Linked DNA regions of Astyanax mexicanus. The protein of the gene in region 1 interacts with the protein of each later gene in a pairwise test. Links are inferred from orthologs where the notes say so. Each region holds a gene or a part of one and is shown on either strand. Other genes may lie near its edges.

Region 1 (7,808 bases):
GCTAGAGCAACCAGATTTTATAAAAAAAAACATGCCGTATGAAACTTATGAAGAAAACATGTAGTCATTTACTGGCCAATACATATTTGGTAGCGCATAAGACTACTTTACATTAAATAGTTGTCATGCTTATTTCCCTGTTGTATTAAGATAGAATTTTCGAACATTTTTTCTGTTACCATATATCTGCAGGTATTGGAAATTATTTGCAGCCTGAGCATCAAGGTCTACAAACACTGAAAACACACTTGCATAGGTCATGTTTTATGTAAGACGACAATCAAAAATATTTAAAAAAATGGGAAAGCTTATTTTATGCTACATAAGTATTAAATAAACAAAATAATAAAATCACAACTTTTAGTCTGGCCTATTAAACTTGAAAAAAATGGCATCCAGCTCCTGTAGCTCATTTGCATGCATCATAGTCAGACGACAATAATTTCTGCATTACGTTCATCAATCTATGCACACTAGTAGAGTTTTAACCTGCATGATTACAGGTCAAAATGTGATGCAAAATATTTTAAGGGTACAGTGTAAATGCCCTTGATAAATCGGTGTCATCACACAAATTCAACATAACCTCATCTGCATTAATTACTAAAGATAACGCAAAAAAAGAGACAGATATCACTATCATACAGCCGCACTGCTCATCCCCACAACACTGATGAATAAATGAATTTGGTGGTTGGCAGGTTCCTGTTCCTTTATTCAAAATACCCTCAAGAGAGGAAAATTCCTGAAATATTTCAGATAGTCCATGGACAAAACCATGCAGAGAAAACACAGACAAGAGAGGGGCTCCCAATCCCAGTCTCACGCTTAAGGTCTTCATGTTCCCAGCCCTCCCACACCCACACCAACAGACCACAATACTGGTGATGCTCAGTGCATACACAATATCCAATTACTGCTACAAGAGCATGGGGACTGAACAAAGAGCATACAATAAAATAAGAGGAACATGCAGATAGCAAAGTAGATATTTTTAATTAACAGACACTTTAGGATTTTTTTTGTGACCTGTTTGCCATGACTTAAAACATAAAACTCATGTGTCAGGACACTATTTAAGACTAAGTCAATTCACTTGACTGTTGTTGGTACTTTAATCCATTACATTTTAATTAATTTCATTTTCATATTGTTCATACACGTCACACTGCAGATTGTACGATGCATCTGCTTATACTGTTGACAGCGAAATCACACAATCATACTTGCCCTTTAGACAATCTGCAACTCTTTTTTAGCTTTTACCTATGCAAAAATGTTATAATATCACGGTTTTTATTTTGTAACTGTGTGTAACTGCGCCATTTCTGTAGTTATCAGGGTCTATTGCAATATTTGAACTGCCTCTGTAATAAGGCTAACAAAGTGATACTAGCTATTTAACTAGCTTATCAGTCTAATCATCCAGTTAACCTTCATGCATAAAATGTGTTGCATCTGTTCTGAAGCGTGATATCATTGTGTTATTTTTGAAGTTATGTTAAAAAAAATCAGATAGATCAGATTATGAGAAAACCTGTTTTGGAGGCTTGTGGAAATGAAGGTGCGGCACAGGAACATCAGGCCTGCTGACACTGAGCTAGCAGCTCATGGGTGTAAGGACCAGGCCAACACTAGCATCAGGACACGCCTTTATACCAATACAGACTTATTGATTATATTATAGCATTAAAAACATTAAGAATAAATGTGGAGCGGTGTTGAGCTGGTGGTGATCTTTCTCTCCAAGAGACAAATCTGAAACGAGGCACCCCATCTGACGGGTTTTTATAAACCAGCCATTAGAGGCTTGTCTGCAGAGGCTCGTAGAGCGGTCAATAGCCACGAGCTCGATCTGAATATTAATGTAATATTTCACTTAGTTAGCTACCTATAGCTTAGCTAATTAATCTAATGCTGTGGTGATTCTCAACTTGCTGTTAGCTACTGAAATAACGAAGGCGCTGTGCTTTTATATTCGCTCAGACATAACTAGCTAGCTAGTTAGCTTGGCTAGCTAGCTACATTACAAGGCACCTACAATGACATTCGGCTACTTTTAGTTTCGAGCTAGCGTTAGGTTAGCTAAGCTAGCTAAGGCCTAGCGCGGAAAAAGCTGCATAGCTACTAAAACTGGCTAGCTAGCTGACTATGCTAAGATAAGCTAAGCTAGGTCTACAGAGCGGGCGGTACACGAAGCGGGGTTTAACTACTAGCGATTACTTTCATTTAAGAGGCCGTGGCTCATTTACTGTGTGTTCATATGCGACCTTATTGCACATTAAAGCACCCTTGTGCTAAGATTATTAACTCTAAGTTATCAAACTAAGATTATGATTAGCTAACTAAGTATATTACTGCCCTGTTAGCCACACAGCTAGCGTTAGCTAGGCTTCAATCGATGAATGGCAGCAGTCAGTTAGCTAACCTATCTTAGATAGCTAATGCTAACTTAGCCAGTTAGCTAGCTAGCTAGCCTGACCGTCAGTTTTAAGTTAGCAAGCTACCTTGCTTATTCGCTCTCTCAAACCCCGGTAATCTGCTCGCTACCGTCGCGTTTAGCTGATATTTTAAACGTTTATGCACACGAGACGAGCCTCCGCCATTTTCGCTGCTCCCAGCCCGCCGTGCGTGTATTTTTAACCCACCCATATTCGGGTGAAGCGGAGAGGTGAACGGAAGTGTCTGGCTAACAAACACTAGCAGCAGGCGCAAACAACGCCAGCCAGCCCAGCCGCCCGCCTGCTCGCTCTCAGCCGCACCGCGTTGCGCTGCGCCCCGCGGCCGTGTCGGACTCGCCCGGCTTCCCGATTCAAGAAGCAGGAACGAGCTACTCGCAGAAAATCCGCCTCACAGTTACCTTGATGATCCTGCGGGGCAATCCTGCCATCTTGTCTTGAATGCGGGTTTTTTAGCTTCGTCTCTCGGTGCCTCTTCCTCTCAGAGACGCAGTGAACACGCCCCCCAGCGCTGCGTCACTCTCCAGCACTCCGCCGCCGCCGCACACCCGGCTCACCCTGGAACATGTAGTTTTACCCACCCGCTCAGTCCAGCGCCATTTGACTCCTTCATTCCGCCTGAAAACACGCACACGTTTCAGTCCTGCAGAGACCAGCACGCATTTAACGACGTCTCAGCGTCAAACAGTCAATTACAGTCTGTACTATTGTTTAAGGCTTTAGTCACTTTATATATAATGGAGAGAGCACAAGACCCATCCAATAAAAGTAAAAAAAATACAGTAGCATGAAAAAAGAATTCTGACCCCCCCCCCTTTTGTTTTTGCCTTTTTGTCATTCTGATATGTTTCTGATTATCAAACAAATCAGACATAGATAAACTGAGTAAATATAAAAAGGCAATTTTAAATGATAATTTTATTTATTAAATGTCTTATTCCATCGTTTTTAGTTCATTTTAAAATGTCTATTATGAGTGAAAGCCATGTGAGCCGTTTAAAAAAAACTAAAAAAAACTAAAAAAAAACGGAGCGCTCTAGTGTTTCTGTTTAACTGAACTAAGTTGGTCTCTAAACAAAGACAGGATTTCGGCTCTTGCTCATGAATATTCACACATGCAAACATATAGCTTCTGATTAGCTAACAGCACTGCAGCAGAAATCGCCTACCTGCCTTACCCTCACAAAGATAGATTGCCAGGTAAAGTTAACCCTTAAACTTCGGCTAACCTCAGACTCTCAGCGTAGGCCACATAGGCGAGCAGCCCCGCGGCCAAAAGAAACGCTATCAAGAGCGGAGGCTGCCCATCACCCATCACCAACCAGCACACCCCACCAATGCCCAAGCATCTCTAAGCCCCCCACACCACACCACACCCCAACCCCCCCCCCCCCCCCCTCCCCCAGTAGAAACAGTTTCTTCAACAATCCTGCTAAAACATTCAGCTCAAGACCAGCTGGGCATTCAGATAAAAACATACCCTATGCTGGCAGACTAGCTTAAAAATAGCTCTTGACATCCCCTTCTACAATACTTGGAAAGTAGCAAAAAAAATGGAAATGTGACATAATCGGCAGGGAGGGTGTGTTTATTGTTTGTGAGATATTACATATTTGTGTTGAATACATTTATACTCCTGCTTAATAAACAAATGTTAAAAGAAAAAAGTAACTCCTGACTAACACAGAATATGTCTTTTTTTCTGGATGACCAGCTGTTCTTGAGCTGGAATTTTGGCATAAAAAAAAAAGAAAAAGCAGATATCTCATTACTTTAGTCCATATAAAGTTTTTTTATTTTTATAAAATAAAATATTTTTTTACTGAAAACCACACTGTAAACTAGTTTTAATTTAGCTGTTCATATTGCTATACTTTATTAATCCCAGGGAGATTTGCCCGCAACTTTTTCCTCCTCATTTTTTAAAGTGAAATAATACACAAAGAGGACAAAACAATTAGGATTACACATATGGCCCAGCCCATTCCCTACCCCATACTCTAATCACTCAATACATCTCAAAGTCTGTCCATTTGCAGGAATTTCTATATTGCTAAATTAGTTCTCATTTCTAACTCTTCTATGTTGCTATGGCTACTAATGATGCAATTAACAACTGAATAACATCCACTTCCACAATCAATTCTAAATGTTCTATGTTGCTGTGGCTGTTTATTACCTAATCAGCAACTCAATTAGCATTCTTCCAATTTATTTTATAGTTATAACTAACATTTTAAATTACATGATTGTGTACAGCAGTTTAAATTGTTTCAGACATGTAACAGACATGATGAGAATCTGTTAAAGTAAAATCTTTTTAGATTGATTTCCTCTGAAAGTTAAATGTTGTTATTCCTTTTCCCGTAAAGATGTTAACTCGGCACAGATGTGTATAATTCTATATTGAGGAACTTTTGGAATGTGTCACCAGATCAAAATCAAATCATGTTACAGTCCGGGTCAAATGAGGAAACGTCATGAAGTACTCAGCTGATGTAACAAAGTTAAACATGTTTTTTTAAAGGTGGCCTGAGATCTGCATGACCTCAGAACAAAAAATGAGCATAGAGTCTTCTAAACTCTTATAATTTTCTATTTTTTTTTATTTGTGGTTCAAAAGTGAGAGACTGAGGTAGTGCTGTGTGTGTGTGTGTGTGTGTGTGTGTGTGTGTGAGTGTGTGTGCGTGTGTGTGTGTGTGTGAGTGAGTGAATGAAAGAGAAATCTTTTGGAGGGAGGGGGCACTGGATCTTGGATGAGCTGGTCCTGCGCAGGAGGATTAAAATAGTTGGTTATCAGTGCTGTGGCTGCTGAGTGTTGGAAAGGCTCGCAGGAGGAGAGGAACACAGCTGGTGAGAGACATGAACTCTCTGCAACTGCCTAGAACAGGTATGTAGAACAGGAATCACCACTTCTGCTGCTGCTGCTGCTGCTAAAAAAAGGAAATAATAGGTAGAACAACAGATTCAAATCAGCGTGTTAACTTGTATTTTGTCACCTTAGATGAAAAAGTGTCGAACAGTTGAGTAATCAGACGTTCTAGGCCACAGTTAGTTCATGCAATGCTTTTGCTTTTTGGGTTTATTGCTGAGAACACGGTCAACTGATGCAGAGAAAAACTTTCTGAATAGAAAATGTTGACTGAGAAGACCTAATGCAAACATTATAATAGCAGTTTCTCATAAAGAACTGATTTAACAATACTGAACAAACAAAAGAGGACAAAAACGTGAAACATAATTAATATAAATACAAATTATTTATGTTGTAAAAGGTATTACACCCCACATTTTTTTTAAATAGCTAGAATGACTATAATGGTTAGAACAAGACTAGAGGGGAGCCTGTCATATTTAAACCCCATAAACATATTGAATTTAATTTGTTGGTTCTTGACTAGTGTGTTGATGTGAGTAGTATCACCATTACCAGATCCAAAGAGCTCTCTGAGACATTCAGATAGAGGGTTGTAGGTACATTTGAGTCTGGAAAGGTATTTGTTTATGTGTGTATTTTCTCAAAATGTATTTACAACAAATCAACACATTAACCCATAAAACCATTGGCTTATTACTTGTTAATTACTTGTTACTTGTACATTACTTATTACTTGTTAATCTTCATGCAAAAGCTATGAAATATGTGATTTTAATTTTCTGATGGTATCATAACTCCTTGTGGAGTCACACCAGTTTCTATTTCAGGGTTTATAAAACTGAAATTCAAGTTGTTTGATACAGAAACTAAAGAACAGTGAGCTACATAATCTATACGATTATATTGAACTAATTTATTGGATATTATATCCAGATTGCACATCACATAAGTCTCTCTGATGTACATTGATGTAATTACATTTAGTTATTTTATATTTAGCATCATAATCTGATGCACATTTTAATTTCATGAATAAATCATCAGCATTGCGTAATGACTTTGTCACTATTGCACTTAGATTTATTTGTTCAGGTCAGTCTGGTCTTACACTCCAACCACAATCTATACAATTCATTACAATTCATCACTCCTTTTCCATAAACCGACCCTCAGAACATCTTCTTCTGACCTTCATGTATTACTTTCAAACAGGATCTTTACTTATCAGCAAAGGGAGGGAAAAAATGCTATCTCATGGCCCACATCATCCTCTCCCAAATATGCCATTGTTCCAGGACACAGGAGCAGATGAACCAGGGCCTAATCTATAGCCTTCTGCCTGTGCACAGAGTGAACAGACAATACCAGCTGAATTAGAGGCGTTACTGCTTTGACTGAGCACTTGATATGAAAGGCAGAATGTAGTCTGACAAGGCTAAACCAGACTTCCTAACCCGTCCGAATGGCATTTCAACCACTTCAGTGCTTCGCCAGTAGATGGAGGTTAAGGCCCTTGAGATCCTGTTTTTCCACCTTTAAATATGCATAAAAAGTAAACTCATTAGTTTACATTGGAGCAGTGTTTATATGGAGTCAAATGAGGGTGATAAATAATCGAGCATCTGCAGTTGTATATTACCTTTTATGTGCATGTGCATTTGCAGCTGTGTATGCGTGAAATAGTTTTGTGCAGGTGTGTAAAAGATTTTGTTGATGCAGAATTTTTTTGCGAGTGTAATTAAAATATTTGGCATATTTTAAACAGTGAGTTGAATGTGTTACTGATTAGTACAACAAGCCACTGCAGTGTTGTGTTTGATTATAGAATGTTTGTGTCTATGTCTTATATTTGTCTTTTTACACATAATGATATAATATCTGGGTGCGCAAACTTTTTTCACACTTGCTTAAAAAATTTCTACAGGTATAAATAATTTTGTGTAGACATTCCTGCTCTTACATTCTACAAACTAACATGTTAGGATGCTTGGTTATTGTTTTTTAGTCAATGCAATATGACTACAGAGACATTTTAGAAAGTTTGAATGCATTGCTGTGTATTGGAAAGCCAATAAAACAATTTTTAATAATTATACTACTGCATTTATGATGTAGAGTCTGAACGGAGTAAATACACAAATTGTAAATATGAATTTCATAATTTGTTTTATAAATTTGCACCACCTTCAGATGTTTTGTGTACACAATTTAATAAATCACTACAGCTTATCTTAATTAATTATCTTAATAATAAATGAATTAATGATTTTTTTTTTCATAAATGTAAAAAAGTAAATTTTTTACATTTTGTTTTTCTTAACATTTTTACTTGATTTGAACATGGATTTTTTTTTCTCTACATTGTCTTCAAACTCTAGGATAAATTAACTCTTGACTTCTATTAAAGATTTGTTTTTTTATCTTTGTTTTTGTTATGATTTGCAGCCCTGTATTCAAAGAAATATATTGTC
Region 2 (6,971 bases), on another chromosome or scaffold:
GAAAAGTTTGGGAAACAATTAAGCCTTGCTTGTCGAAAATGAATTTCCCCACATTTGCAGAATGTCTGCAAAATGTCTTCTTTATAACTCCTTTATAACTATATCACCCATATTTTTTATTATTATTATTTATTTCAAGCGTAATCCTGTGTAATAATTTCCAGTATTGTGCACAATGAATTTGCCAGTGTCAACACTTTTAGTGTAAAAAAATAAAATAAAAAACTTGCAGTGTTAATTTAACTCTAAAAGTGTTTTTAACACTGGCAAATTTACTGTGTGGCTTTTAGAGGCAGAAAAAAAACATTTCATATATATTTAGCACCAATCAACAAACCACTAAACATAATATTAATTTGTTTATATTAGGGTTTGTATAATGTTAATTTATTATAGGTTAAGCACGTAATAAAAAAAAAGTAATCAAATCTTAGCAAAGTAAAGCAAATGTAGGATGTGTATGTGCCAAATGGAATCTAATATATGGATACATATATTTAATATATCGTTGCTTTTAAACTAATTTGAGCTAATCTCATTTTAATAACCTTTTAAGTTTAACAGGGAAGAAAACCATAGGTTTTGAAACTTTCAATCAGTTGAATCTCGAATTTTTGCATTGTGACTGAATGTCACAGGACAAAAAAAAAAACACAGTATATTGTCTTAATACATTTTCCATGTCCCCTGTAAGTCAGGGAATACTGCGATGACACATGTGTGGATATATGTGTGTGGTTGCACAGTTAAATATTGATTACAGTCATTCATGGTATGTAATTACATGTGTGCATCAGTGTCAGTTAAACATAGCAGAACATTCTGTCCATCTTACCATGATTAAATCTGAATTATGATTTTTAGTAATAAAAACAATGAGGACCCTAATTCTATACCAGACAAGAGCTGTTAAAGAAACAGACATTTTACACAACTAATTACACACACTATGTTACATGTAAAAAAGCACACACACACACACACACTATGTTACATGTAAAAAATCACACACACACCCACACACACACACACAGACACACTATACTACATGTAAAAACACACACACACACTATACTACATGTAAAAAACACACACACAAACTATATTACATGTAACAATTCACACATACTATATTACATGTACAAATTCATAAACACACTATATAATGTAAACAAATTACACTATTAAATACAAGTCAAGTGTTGATGTGTGTAATGTAATTGATTTGTATCTGTACTGTACTTCCCCCATAGATACACTGTTTCTTACACGCATTGTTAGTGTTACTAAACAGTTATTACATGTATTAAAAGCTGTGACTAAGAAAAAAATATGATTTGCATAGAAATTAGTTTTTTTAAATTTTGTTTTTGCAATGTGATTACTTTTCAGCAGTGACACATATGCTGAGGCAAGATAAAGTCTCAAACCAATGCTTTTTAATGCTCCAGTGTGTTTACAAGGAAATAAAAGTCTGTAGGGATTTGTGGAGTGTGTCTGGCCATTTCTTATTATGTGTTCTTGTTTTTGCATGACATCATATTTTCTTCTCAAGTTGCATTTCAAATCTAAGGAATATGTTTACCAAGAACCATTAAAGTTCCTGGACGAGTTTTACTTCTTTAAATACAGAGAATTCATCATCTGGTGACTTGCTGATGAGAACAAATGCAAACACCCAGCATTCATTGCCAATTCAGCACTAATGCAAATGCTCACTTAATGTGTTTGAGAGCATCAGTTGTGTAGTCAAGTGGTAGAGTCGGTATACAGTGAATAGCCCCGTATGAGTAATGTTATAATCCATATAATATCAATAACTACTAATAACTAAAGACAATAAAAATTGTGTAATTGAAAAGACAATCAAATGTTATGATGAAACTGGCTCTCATTAGGACTGCCCCAGGAAAGGAAGACCAGGAGTTACCTCTGTTGAACAGGATAAGTTTATCAGAAACCACAAGTTAACAGCCCTCCAGATAAAAGCTATACTTTTACATTTACTACATGATTCCTTTTGTATTCCTTCTAAGTTGGATAACTTGAGTATTAATTTACAAAGTAGGAAAACTTTTAACTGGTACTGGAGTTGCAAGAGGTTCCAGTCTCCAGCAGGTGAACTGAATCAGAGTCACCTGAAGTAACCTGATTATTAATGCTCTATCTTTCATATTCATTTACATATAATTTGGCATTAAATCGGAATTTACTTGAGGAGGAGCATGAATATGAAAATGCAGGCTCATGCAGAGTTGAAGAAACATCTAAACATCTGGAGGCTTGAATTAATTCATTTTAAGAGGTCATCTGTGTTCAGCAGGACTTCAGAGACCAGTGTAGACAGACCCTAAAGCCCACAACTGTGGACTGATGCTGGATCAGTACTAAACAGAAGATTAGCACCAGGACTACAACCTTTAAATTCTTGGAGCAGAGAGACAGCTTATGCATCATTAATGGCATTAATAATAAAAGATGGCATCAAACGCGTAGTGTCTACTACTGCTACTACTGCACACACACACACACATTGACGCACTCACACATACGTAGGCTACAGTAGGCACGAGGTGCAACAGCTGGGTTAGTAGCGTAGCGTAGTGCACGCTCACTCACCCACAACAACAAACAACACCAGCAATGAACAAAACGCTACAACACAACAGGGGCGCGCGCGCGCGCGTTTCCATGCATGCGTACGTAACGTAACCAAAGCTCGCCTACCTCACACGCGCGCACGGACGGACGATCCTCCGCTCGCTCCAGCGTAGACGCGCGTAGAGGCTCGCGCTGCCGTTTCACCGAAAGTTGAGCGAGCGCAGCGTGGAGCTCCCCTCGCGCGCTTCTCCCAGCTGCTGTCGTGAAAATAAAAAAGGCGCCTGCTGGAGAGCTGGTCGCTCTGCTTTCTCTCTCGCGCTCTCACTGGCCCCCGTGCGCGCGTGCTCGGCTGTGGACCATATTCCCCCTCCGACAGGCTCCTAGAGTAACACACACTCCCCGAGGACACGTGACCATCCCACGGGAAGAGCTTTCACCCAGCTCTCTTCTGTATACACACACACGCATACACATGCGCGAAACTCACGCGCGCGCGCGCACGCACACACACACATTTGCACCGACTCCCACTCAAACACTGGAGCATGACCAGCAAGAGTGTGGTATTGTGGCTACATGCTGATGCTGATTCTTTACTGGGATGTGAAGGCAGCACTGGGCTGTGTTTATCTGTGTGTGTGTGTGTGTGTGTGTGTGTGTGTGTGTGTGTTCAGTGGCCTATGCCACTAGAGACCCAGGAGTCAAACCACTGGCATTCTTGTTACACAGACCATTAGCAAGCAGCCAGTTTAGGATGACTGCTCTCCACTGGTAGCAGGTTTTGCAAGCTCTAAACCTGTTTTTGATGGTGAAGGTGACTGAAAGCGTTTTTCCAGGCAAAACATATCTTATGCTGTTAGGTTTTAGTGGGTTAACCAGCTCCTGACCATCATAGTTCATGTTTCATTTGATTCTGGGAGGTCTACTGGTCATGTTGGTTGATCAGCTTGGTAATTTGGTTTAAAAAGCTTGGTAATGCTGGTCTTGTTGGTATACTATCTTGGTTTTGTTGGCAATGCTGGTCTACTAGTTAGGTCATCAGTCATCTTGGTCTGTTAGCATGGTGATACTTGGTGTTACTGATCGACCAGCTTTTTTTAGTTGGTCATGTTGGTCAACTAGATTGGTTGAGATGGTCAAGATGGTCAACCAGCTTGGTTATGTTGGTTAACCAGTTTGGTATTGGTGGTCGTGTTTATCAAGCAGCTTGGTCTTGGCGGTCATGTTGGTCAACTAGCTTGGTCATGCTGGTTATGCTGGTCAACCACATTGGTCTTGGTGGTCATGTTGATCAACCAACATTTTCATGTTGGTCGTGCTGGTCGACCATCTTTTTAAAATGCTGGTTATGTTGATCACCCAGCTTTTGCATGTTGGTAATTATGGTCGACCAGTTTGGTGTTGCTGGTCATGTTGGTCAACCACCTTTGTCTTGGTGGTCATGTTGGTCACCCAGCTTGGTTATGGTGGTCATGTTGGTCAACCACATTGGTCTTGCTGGTCAACCCACTTGGTCATGCAGGTCAACAGCATTTTTAATAGAGATTTTCTACTGAAAGGAAAATATGGTCTATAGGTTAAGTCCTTGTCCAGCATACAGATCCATGGTGTTTAGAAAGGAAAACAATTGAAGGGTTTAAACTAAACTAGTGATTCCCTATTAAAGTACATTTAAGTACATACATATATTACATTATTACAATGTAAAAAAAAACACAATACAGAAAATCTAATATAATTGACTTGTATTGTACAAACTATTGCCTATAAACAATTGTGTACAATAAAATAGTATCTATATTCAAAATTATATAGGATTGTATTGGCCCACTACAGTGTAAACAGCAAGAAAACTAATGACTGATTGGTTTTGCTGTAAAACACTCAGCACAGGCTGAAGTCACATGGATCAGGAATGAGCACCACATTCCTGCACTAGACCACATTGGACCCCGTCCACTACAAGCAGATTTTAAAGTGGAAAATCTCTCCTTGGAACTTTTTCATGGAGAGAGAGAGAGAGAACTCCCTGTTTCTCCATAATATAAGCACTCAGAGAGAACAAATGTTGCACAAGTAGGTATTTAACACAACTTTAACTTCAGAAATCTCCACATAAATAACTTGTGCAACCATTTGTCTCCTTGGAATGCATAACGTGGGCATGAAAGCCCTTTGAAAGCGAATTAGTTCCAGAGTGTAAAATGCACCAGGATCAGAATCACTGGCTGACACTGTGCTGGCTGTTTGTGAAACTCTAGTGCAGCTGAGGGAGTAAATTCTGACTGCATGCAAAATTTGGAATGGCAATTACTGTGGGCGGAAGATTCCAGCCCGAGTAACTTCACGCTCTGTACTGTGCATTAAAGATAATACCCTCAGTGATGGAGCACTCTTCTTCACTGAGTCTAATATTGTGCTTAATCTATACTACAGCTTCCGGCACTCTATAAAACCCTGCACGCCACTGATCACATTAGCATTCACGTTCAATATCGCTGATAATTCCCACATCGGCTGATTACACACACGCATGCATCTGCAGTGTAAAGTAAACAGATGAGATGTAAAAATAAAGTCCAAGTCAAATGAAAGGGCAAGAGGGGCTTAAAGAGCTAAAAGGCTGGAATCCCTTGAGAGGCATCTGCATGAGATAAATTCTCATTCCTCCTGTCTCTGGGGACCTTCAAGGACTTGAGTAATAGGCTCTGAATATACTATAGAGATGCTTTGATGCATGTGGGCCTCAATCTTAATCACTCTAAAAATGATACTCTATTACTTGCCTGAGAAAATCATTGATAGAGTAATTATTACTTCATGAAGTGATGATAAGCTAATCATTTACAATATGATAATACAAATTGAACCTGTCTTTTTTACAGTATAATATTATGAGATTGTGATATACTATTAGGATTGATTGCAAGAGTTTGGCAAAGTACTATAAATCATACAAAAACACATATTTTTTTTCCCCTTTTTAACTACTTAATAAAAGTCAAAAAGTAGTGTCTAAGTACTTACCACTGAATAACTTATAGAATTGCTGTAAAAAATGTACTAGGAACTATGAACTAGTCCCAGGACTTTTGCCATGTCACATGGAAGCTTAAGAACCCTGCACTGACCTGTGGGAAAAAAGATATGTTGACTCAACAAGCCAGATGCTTTTACCTAAATCAGTAGAAGATGAGCCTTTTATCCTTACTTAATTGAAATACGTATATACAACTGTTTTTATTTTCTTAACTCATATAAATACACTTTATGTTGACTAAAAACCAAAGTGCCCACTAATGCACTAATGAAATCAACTACCTTTAATCAATATCAGCACATTTTTTAATTGTAATTATTTAGAGGTGGTAGCCAATGGGGAAATGACTACAAATTGACGGTGGGTGTCATTGACAAGAGGTTTCAGTTGTTAATAGTCTTAGAGACTAATTAACTCACCACATTAAATAAAATCATACAAAATCTCTTTTTTTGTGAATTAGAGTGGTGTTAACATACAGAATAAATTTTACTTGAAATTAAATTTGTTTGAAATTGTAATTTAGAGTCTATACTAAGCCAGAAGTACAGTACATCCTAACTAAATTGCTAAAGTTTAAGTTTGGAAATCAAAAATATTTAGGTTCATGTGGGGGATAGTAGAGAAAAGGGGGAAAAAATAATAATACATAGAAAAAAGAGAATTAATAATAATAATAATAATAATAATAATAATAATAACTGAACAATTTGTAAACTACAAGAGAAAAAGGAAAGGGGGAGGGAAAAGAAAAAAAAACGGATTATAGCAAACAAGATACAAATATTAGGAAACAACAACAAATAGATCTGAATATTTACAGAAAAAGAATGGAGAAATAGAAAAGGAAGATATATATATATTTTTTTTTCTTGTTTGATGTTATGTGGTAATAGATAGAGAGAGTAGAGAGAAAAGAGACAGAGAGAGAGAGGTAGGTATCTGCCCTAAGTGTGTGTGTGTGTGTGTGTGTGTGTGTGTGTGTCTGTGTATGTGTGTGTGAGCGAGTACAGGAACATTCGGGTACAGGTGTTAGATTTAAGGTTATTGTTAAAACGGTTGTATTAGTGGTGTATGAGTGATGTGTGTAGAGAGCTGATGGAGACACTAATGTAAGAGGTTGTTTAATGCTGATGGTTCAACTTACTTTTAAAATAGTTCATGTTGAATCCTTTTAAAAAGGTCAATGCAAAAATCCTGCTTTAAATAAATTAAACTAATCTTTTTTTTGTCAATAAAGTAGTGGATTGAGAAATGTTAAATGCTGGCACAACACACCCAACTTTGATAAGCCACGTCGCCTTGCCATGAGCACGTTGCCCAATATCCA
Region 3 (7,348 bases), on another chromosome or scaffold:
CTGGGTCTTCCGGACATCGACGACGACACATATGAGCAGTACCACGCAGACGTGGAGGAGGAAGCAGAGACGGACCACCAGCAGATGGGTGTTAGCCAGCAATAATGCCCAGGCAGGCAGCTCGGCTGTGGGCCCGCGATAACGCCCGGTGTTGGGGGGTCGTTGTTTAATGGGCCAGAGATTCTCTTTCCTCTGTTTCTTCTTCCCTCCCTTTTTTCTTATTCCTCCATGCCATGTTCACTACTCTACTCTTTTATGAAACTATTTTATGAAACACTATATCCTTCTCTCTCTTGTTCTCTCTCTCTCTCTATCTTTCTCTCTTTTTCTCTCTCTTTCTCTCGCCCTCACACACCTTCACACAAAAGCAGGAGCCTGCTAAACTGCACCATTATGCCCTTTAATATATAGATGGCTATGTTTTCCACTTTTTACGTTTTTCTGCCTTGTTTTAAACAGCAAGGCATTTAATCCATATTATTGCATTATTATGCACACTTATATTACGCTTTCCACTCAAGCCCTTTTAAATATCAGAACATGGAAACTATTCTTTCATTATTTTAAGTTACGTTCCCCTCATTTTTTTATTTTTGTTTTACGTATGGCTATTATAGCCCGTGAGACATTTCTGCTGTTCATCTTAGATGGTAAAGGCTCATTAACATGGATTGCTTTGAATTGAGGCTCTTATCATAACAACCGATTGATATTGATGAATAGATATTGTCGTATTGAATGTATGGGCTTATGTATGAAAGTCCTGATGGATTGCTCGTAACTAGGTGTAATGTCTGAGACCAGTCAGTTGCAGTTGCGGTGGTTTCAAAGGTCAGAACCGTGGACCTGGTGTGAATGGGAAAAGTTGATGCTAGAGATCTTAGTCTTAGTCTTAGCCTGAGACACTCAACACACAATGCACCCACAGCAGAGACGATGGTGTGATTGGATTTTGGATAGAAGTGGATAGAAGTGCTTGCTGTAATTGTGGTTCCTCCTCTTTTCACTAGCCTTTAACTGTATTGAAATTTACAGAGGTGCCAGTTTATTAGGTCCTATGGTTGTTGGTCCCAGTGTATTAGTGGTTCATGGATGGAGTTGAGGGGAGTCAATGAACTGTATAACACCAAATGGGTGACCAACACTGCTCCTGTAGAGCTACCATCCTTTAGGTTCTACCTCCATCCCAAATCTAACACACCCGATTCAACTGATCCAGCTCTTTTGGAGGCAGTGATTACACGGATCAGGTGGGATTGATTGGTGGCTGGAGCTTACATCCTCTGGAGAATAGCCCAGATTGTCCAGGAGCTAGGTTGGTGAAGTGTTGGGCGGTCAGGGCACAGTGAGGGTTAAGGTAAAAGCTTATGCTTGCTCAACCTGAGTATTAAATCCACCACAGTCATTAAAAAAGCTGGTGTTCTAAATGTTAAGCCTCCATTGTCCCAAAGATCATATGATGGGGAACCCAGATTTCAATTTGAAACATCTTGGAGCGTTTCTGCCAACGTTTCTCCCTCTGTTTGGTTTGGTTTCACACAGGCACAAACCTAAACGCACTAGAATGCTCACTCACAATAAACCACGTGAGCACATTGTCTGAAAGTAAATATAATGAGAAGATTCTGTGTTCCAGTGTGTATATCTGTGCGAGGTGAAGCTGCTTTAACACAGCACGCTGAAAAAAAAAAACTTTTAAACTTTTAAAGTGTTTTCAATGGGACGTGTAGCTCAGATGTGAGCAGTGAACGCTGCACATACCGTGCTCTTAGTGTGTAAACAGCATGGAGCAGCAGCAGAGACAGTGTTTTTTGTTCATAGCTGTGGTAATTATCATTATCTAATAGCTAATATATCAGATTGAACTGCATCTTATCAGCAGAGTAGCTCAAATATAGAAGGAATATATTTGATAACTTGGTCGGATCGAGACTGGACCTTGATTTTTTACCACAAGTGGACCGTTCATGAGTTTGTTTGGAACCAGACCGAGACCCCCTCCATTAGCTTCACTGATCTCAGAATCCACTTTAACCAGAACTAATTGTGCTGGTGTGAAGACACTCTTAATCTGCATTGTTATTAGGATTGTTAGAAATGTAAAGGATTGTGATCCAGAGCTAAAACAGTACTAAGACATTTTTAAAAGAACCATTTAAAATAAAGATCGGTGCACCTAATAAACTGGCAACTTGGTCTCTGCATTACATAAAGTTTTTGACATTTGCCCTGGTTTCTATAGCAGCTTCTCTTCCATTCTTTTCCATGCTGCTCTGCTCATCACGTGTTAGCCAGGGGATATGCTTGAACGTGTACTCTATGAATGGCACTTGTTTCTTTTCCTCAGCTGGTTCCTCAGTGCATGCAGTACAATAAGCATGCTTAAGTAGTCCAGAACCCTCCAGTGATCCAGCGAAGCTGTATTTTGCAAAGTTAAGGGGGTTCTGTATGGGGACAATTTCCTCTCCTTATCCTACAGCAAATGAGAACAGAGCTGACTGAGGAGAATCTGATCCTAGACCAGTTAGCACTTCATGATGTCAGGCTCCGAGCCTGGTCTGACTCGGCACTTGCAAAGGCCTGTATTTTTGGTGTGAAGAAGGTGAGCGAGGATTGGTCCGGTACGTCCCGTTCTGTTGGTGGACACCTTGCTTACACTGCGCTTGCTGCAGGAACGGAAGTTGACAGGATTCTGCTGACCTCATATGTTCAGTGCCCGCCTAATGCTGCCCCTACTACCACCACACACACACACATATATACACACACACACACACATATATACACACACACAAATACACTCTCACTGCTTCCATATCGTCTTCCTCCCTAAGCTAAGTGTGCTGCCAGCATAGAGATAAATTGGTCCACATGTACTGAAGTCTGTCGTGAGGTTAGTCAGAGCTGCTGTTCTATATTCATATTTATTTGATTGTCCAGCTTTAGAATTTGTTCTGGATTGCTGTAAGCTTTATGCATTGATTTTTTTTCCCCCCGTTTGATTTCAACACCTCCTTTTATTACGTCACTTTTAAATGAGTTGTGGTTTTGCCTAAAGATGTAAGATTTTATAGTTTGGAACTATTGTTTCCCTCATGCTTTGTTACGCGTTTTGTTTTTGTCCTCTGGTTTGTGTAAAAGTCCTAAATTAAATTAAACCATGTGGAGGTGATGATCTTCCTGTGTGTCCTTGTCGCTCATTGAGTTTTCTGACTTTCTGCTTTGTAAATAAAATGCTATGAAAAATGGTAAAACATTTACTTAATGGCAATGTTCATAAGGCTACGTATGACCTCTACATAATACTTCAATGACCACAGATGTAGATTTTAAAAGGCTTCATAGTTTCAACGTTCTACTCAGTTCTACACTAGCTTCAATACATAATTCTACACTAACTTTTGAACTAAATTCAACACTCTATAACACTATAGTTTCAGTAAGTACTTCTACACTGATGTCAACACTAATTTCTTCACTATAGGGAGTGCCTATGATGAAAATGTGAAGATGATCGCTATTGTGCTTATATACAGTCATTGATTCCATTTCAGTTTCTATATGGTGGTGCTTTAAAGTTTGTGCACCCTTTATAATTGTTTTATATTTCTGTACAAATATGACCGAAAACATCATCAGATTTTCCTTAATGTCCTAAAAGTAGACAATAGAACCCATTTAAAAAGTTAAACATACTATACTTGATCATTTATTTATTGAGTAAAATCATCCAATATTACATATTTGGGAGTGGAAAAAGTATGTGAACCTTTGCTTTTAGTATCTGGTGTGATTTCCCTCCTTTTCAGCAATAACAATTTAGAGACTCACAAGTGCACAAAGGTTTCATCAACACGTCCATAAAATAAGCATGAATCATTAAGGTTTATAAATTTAATATTAAGCCTGATGCATAAGAGAACTGCTCAACTAAGATCACAGCTTTTGACACCTGGTTATCATCCCTTAAAAATAAGGACGTGTCATCTGCCAAAATTTTTAGCTATATAGTTTATTTATATTTTTCCAGACAATGTTATTATTTCACATTTTGACCTATTTAAACTTAAGCCTGATGCATTATAAGACTGCTCAACTAACATTACAGCTTTTGACACCTGGCTCATCAATCATCCCCTTTAAAAATTAAGTAGCGTAGTCTGTCAGATGCAAAATTTTAGTTTGCCAAATATTTTTTTAGCTATAAATGTATTTTTTTATAATTACAGTTCACAAAACATATAATAATCTTTTAGCTATATAAGTTAAATCTGGCTGCTCAAACCAGTGCACTGACGTCACCCGGAGCTGATAAAGGAGGAGGGGCTTAAGCGCGCCGTTCACGCGCTGTCTAATCTGCGGCTCGCGCTCGCTCGTGGCTCGCTCTGGCTGCTGCTGTTGCTGCACGAGCCGGTTCGGTTGGCTGTTATTAGCGGAGGCCAACGGTCGCTGTGATTCTCCAGAGCGCCGCGGGTCATGTAGCCTGGTTTAGCGGCGGCGGGAGCGGCTGTTTTCGGGGGTTTTGTGTCGTTGTTTGGGGCTGACAGCGCGCAGGAAGAGTGGAGAGGCCTGCAGGAAGAAAGTTTAACGACTGAGGAGCGGCAACAAGTGCGCGGAGAGAGCGGAGAGCCGCGGAACTCACTTATCTCACTCACTAAACACGGAACTCAGTAACTAGCGCTAACGGGCTTCGGCTAAAAACACTCCGGCCAGCCATGACAGTCCAGCCGCCGCTGAACTGAAGAAAGCGGCGCAAAAACGAAACAAAACAAAACTTGGAGATAACACACACACTCATACACACACACTTACACAGATAAAACTCCGCCATGGGACCCAAACAGAGCAGCCCGGCCGCCAACGGCCGCCTCCGGGCTTACTCCGGCTCCGACCTGCCCTCCTCCACCGCGGCCAGCTCCGGCAGGGCGGCCGTGCTGAGGTACTATGCGGGCGGCGCGGGGAGCCAGCCGGCAGCGCAGCGGGGAGGGCGGTACGGCGCGGACGGCAGACCCGGCTCGCTGATCCAGTCCGCGGTTATAGCGAGCAGCGGCGGCGGGACTCCGAGACACGGAGAAGACCCGGATAGAGATCAGGACCAGTCCGGTCCAAGACTTCTTATAGGCTCCTTACCTGCACACCTCTCCCCTCACCTGCTTGGAGGTGAGTTAAGTAGCTAGGCTAAATAACTAGATTTTTCTAGATGGTAAAATTGTAGGTTTAATTTCACAAATAATAAGGGACATCCACTAAGTCATAATTATAAGATATTGGGTCTGTGGGGTATTATCTCATAATTATTACGTACTATCTTATGATTAAACTTACTGTAGTATCTCATTTACTTATAATTTAGTCATAGTATCTCGTAATTATGGCTTAACATCTCATAATTATGATGTATTATCTCAATTATGACATGCGTTTTGAAAATTATGACTTAGTATGTAAAATTTTACTTTTGTATCTCAATGTTGTTAGTGTCTCATAATTATGACTGAGTACCTCAAAATTATGACTTAGCATCTCATAAGTATGACTTAGTATATTGTAATTATGACTTAGCATCTTAAAATTATGACTTTGTATCTTAAAATTATGACTTTGTGTCTTGTAACTATGACTTTGTATCTCATAATTATGACATGGTTGAGGACCCTTTTTTAAGTGTCAGAATGGGCTTCCATACAATATAGCTAATTATTTGTTTTTTAACAATTTTATATTATTCTATTTTTTCACTTACTGCAGTTCACACTTTTTTCATTCTTGTATTGTTTTTATAGTTTTATTTGGATCCACATTAGCATAACAAATATCGAGCACAAGTCATAAATACTCTGCACACATGTTTAATGATGGCTACTGTATTTCTGATGTGAAAAAAAAGTATACAATTACATGCAATCACAAAACATTTGTCATCATCCTTTTACACCAATTACATGTTTTGGTAATATTTAATATAAATGTGGTTCTTGGGCTTGAATGGGTTAGTTTATAGAGCTAATAGAGTCTTTATTGTTATATTATTGCCTGTGTTTGATGAAAAGGTTTGATTTACATTGGAACAAAAGCATGGCTTGTTATTAGTCGGGCAGCTATGGCAACACTAATAAGAGCACTGAGATATTAGCACAGAACACAGAATATAGACAAAGCATGATGATCCTAATAAGGTTAGCTAGCTCGCACTGCAGGAACACACGGATTATTGTGATTATAATGATTATAAAGATAAAGTGTTAGATAAAGAGTCTGTTCTGCTCAAAGGTCATAGAAGCACATGTCAGAGTTGATTACAGATACAATCTGCAGATTTGAGGCTCTAAATCAATAAAAGATTAGCCGAGGAAATGCATAAAGCAGAAGATACCAGAATGTTGCATTTGTTTTTGCAGTTTCAATCTAAACACTCTGAAATAAAAGGATGTTAAACCTCTGGGTTATTGTTGTTTGGGCTGCAGTGTTAAGTTCCTCTTTCTTTTTTTAACATGACTCTAAATTAATCCTTAATCAGGACCGTTTTTTCTTACTATAATAGCTTTTGCTGGTTACCTGAGCAACCATGGTGCTGCTAATGGTGCTAACACAAGAGCTATCGTGAACATGGAGATGTCAGAACTGCAAACTCAGTCTTGTCTTTAGTGTCTGTTCATTCACTCATCGTAATCCAAATAAAATCAGAATTGGAACTGAAGAGAGCATCAGAGATAAACAAGTTCGCTAAAATAACTAAATCCAGGTTATTTCACGGTGAATAAAGACTGCATCACAATGCACGTTTTAAAAGTACTTTTTAGCATGGTTTGTGTAATTACACATTCTAATACAAAAATTACAGACTAGCACTTTAATACAATTTATCAACCTGAATGATTTAGAAGCCTTTTAAAATAAAGAATGAGCGACGTCCTCCTAAAAGGAACTGAGAAATTCTTAGAGCAGAAACATACCGTGACAGTCAGTACTAGGAGTGTGCAATACTGTATCATATGCAATAATATCACCAAAAATTATGACATGATAAAAAAAGTTCTGTATCGTGATATTGCGAAAATTCTTGAAAGCAGTCCATTTTAATTAAGTTTTTATTCACTTAATATGCAATTCATATCCACTAGATTTTTTTTGCTGCATTACTTTGTATTTTTATGCAAAAAAATTACAGATTTTTTATTTATTTGTGTTCTACTGAATGTATAAATGTATGAATGTATAAAACTCATATTTATTGCGTTCAGATTTTGCAGTAGTTTATTTTTAAATGAAAAGAATATCACTATCCCCCCATCACTTCTAGGGTGATGTGGATCAGCACAATGCTGCGTCTGTGAGCTGATGTATCAGA

The links.
Region 2: the proteins of ube2na (region 1) and mid2 interact in a two-hybrid assay, tested with the Homo sapiens proteins (2 studies listed by BioGRID). The link is inferred for Astyanax mexicanus from reciprocal best matches to the Homo sapiens genes UBE2N and MID2.
Region 3: the proteins of ube2na (region 1) and znrf2a interact in a two-hybrid assay, tested with the Homo sapiens proteins (4 studies listed by BioGRID). The link is inferred for Astyanax mexicanus from reciprocal best matches to the Homo sapiens genes UBE2N and ZNRF2.

Annotation. Positions count from the first base shown.
Region 1 is NC_064416.1:21,042,073-21,049,880, reverse strand, and holds the start of ube2na (ubiquitin-conjugating enzyme E2Na), read right to left. Parts: upstream 3,018-7,808; 5' UTR 2,891-3,017; coding exon 2,861-2,890; intron 1-2,860. Other genes in the region: c1qtnf13 (complement C1q tumor necrosis factor-related protein 4), read left to right, coding at 5,322-5,349. UniProt on the Homo sapiens protein: The UBE2V1-UBE2N and UBE2V2-UBE2N heterodimers catalyze the synthesis of non-canonical 'Lys-63'-linked polyubiquitin chains. This type of polyubiquitination does not lead to protein degradation by the proteasome.
Region 2 is NC_064417.1:41,297,758-41,304,728, reverse strand, and holds the start of mid2 (probable E3 ubiquitin-protein ligase MID2), read right to left. Parts: upstream 3,015-6,971; 5' UTR 2,728-3,014; intron 1-2,727. UniProt on the Homo sapiens protein: E3 ubiquitin ligase that plays a role in microtubule stabilization. Mediates the 'Lys-48'-linked polyubiquitination of LRRK2 to drive its localization to microtubules and its proteasomal degradation in neurons.
Region 3 is NC_064410.1:2,591,940-2,599,287, reverse strand, and holds the start of znrf2a (E3 ubiquitin-protein ligase znrf2-like), read left to right. Parts: upstream 1-4,334; 5' UTR 4,335-4,829; coding exon 4,830-5,160; intron 5,161-7,348. Other genes in the region: mturn (maturin), read left to right, coding at 1-105. UniProt on the Homo sapiens protein: E3 ubiquitin-protein ligase that plays a role in the establishment and maintenance of neuronal transmission and plasticity. Ubiquitinates the Na(+)/K(+) ATPase alpha-1 subunit/ATP1A1 and thereby influences its endocytosis and/or degradation.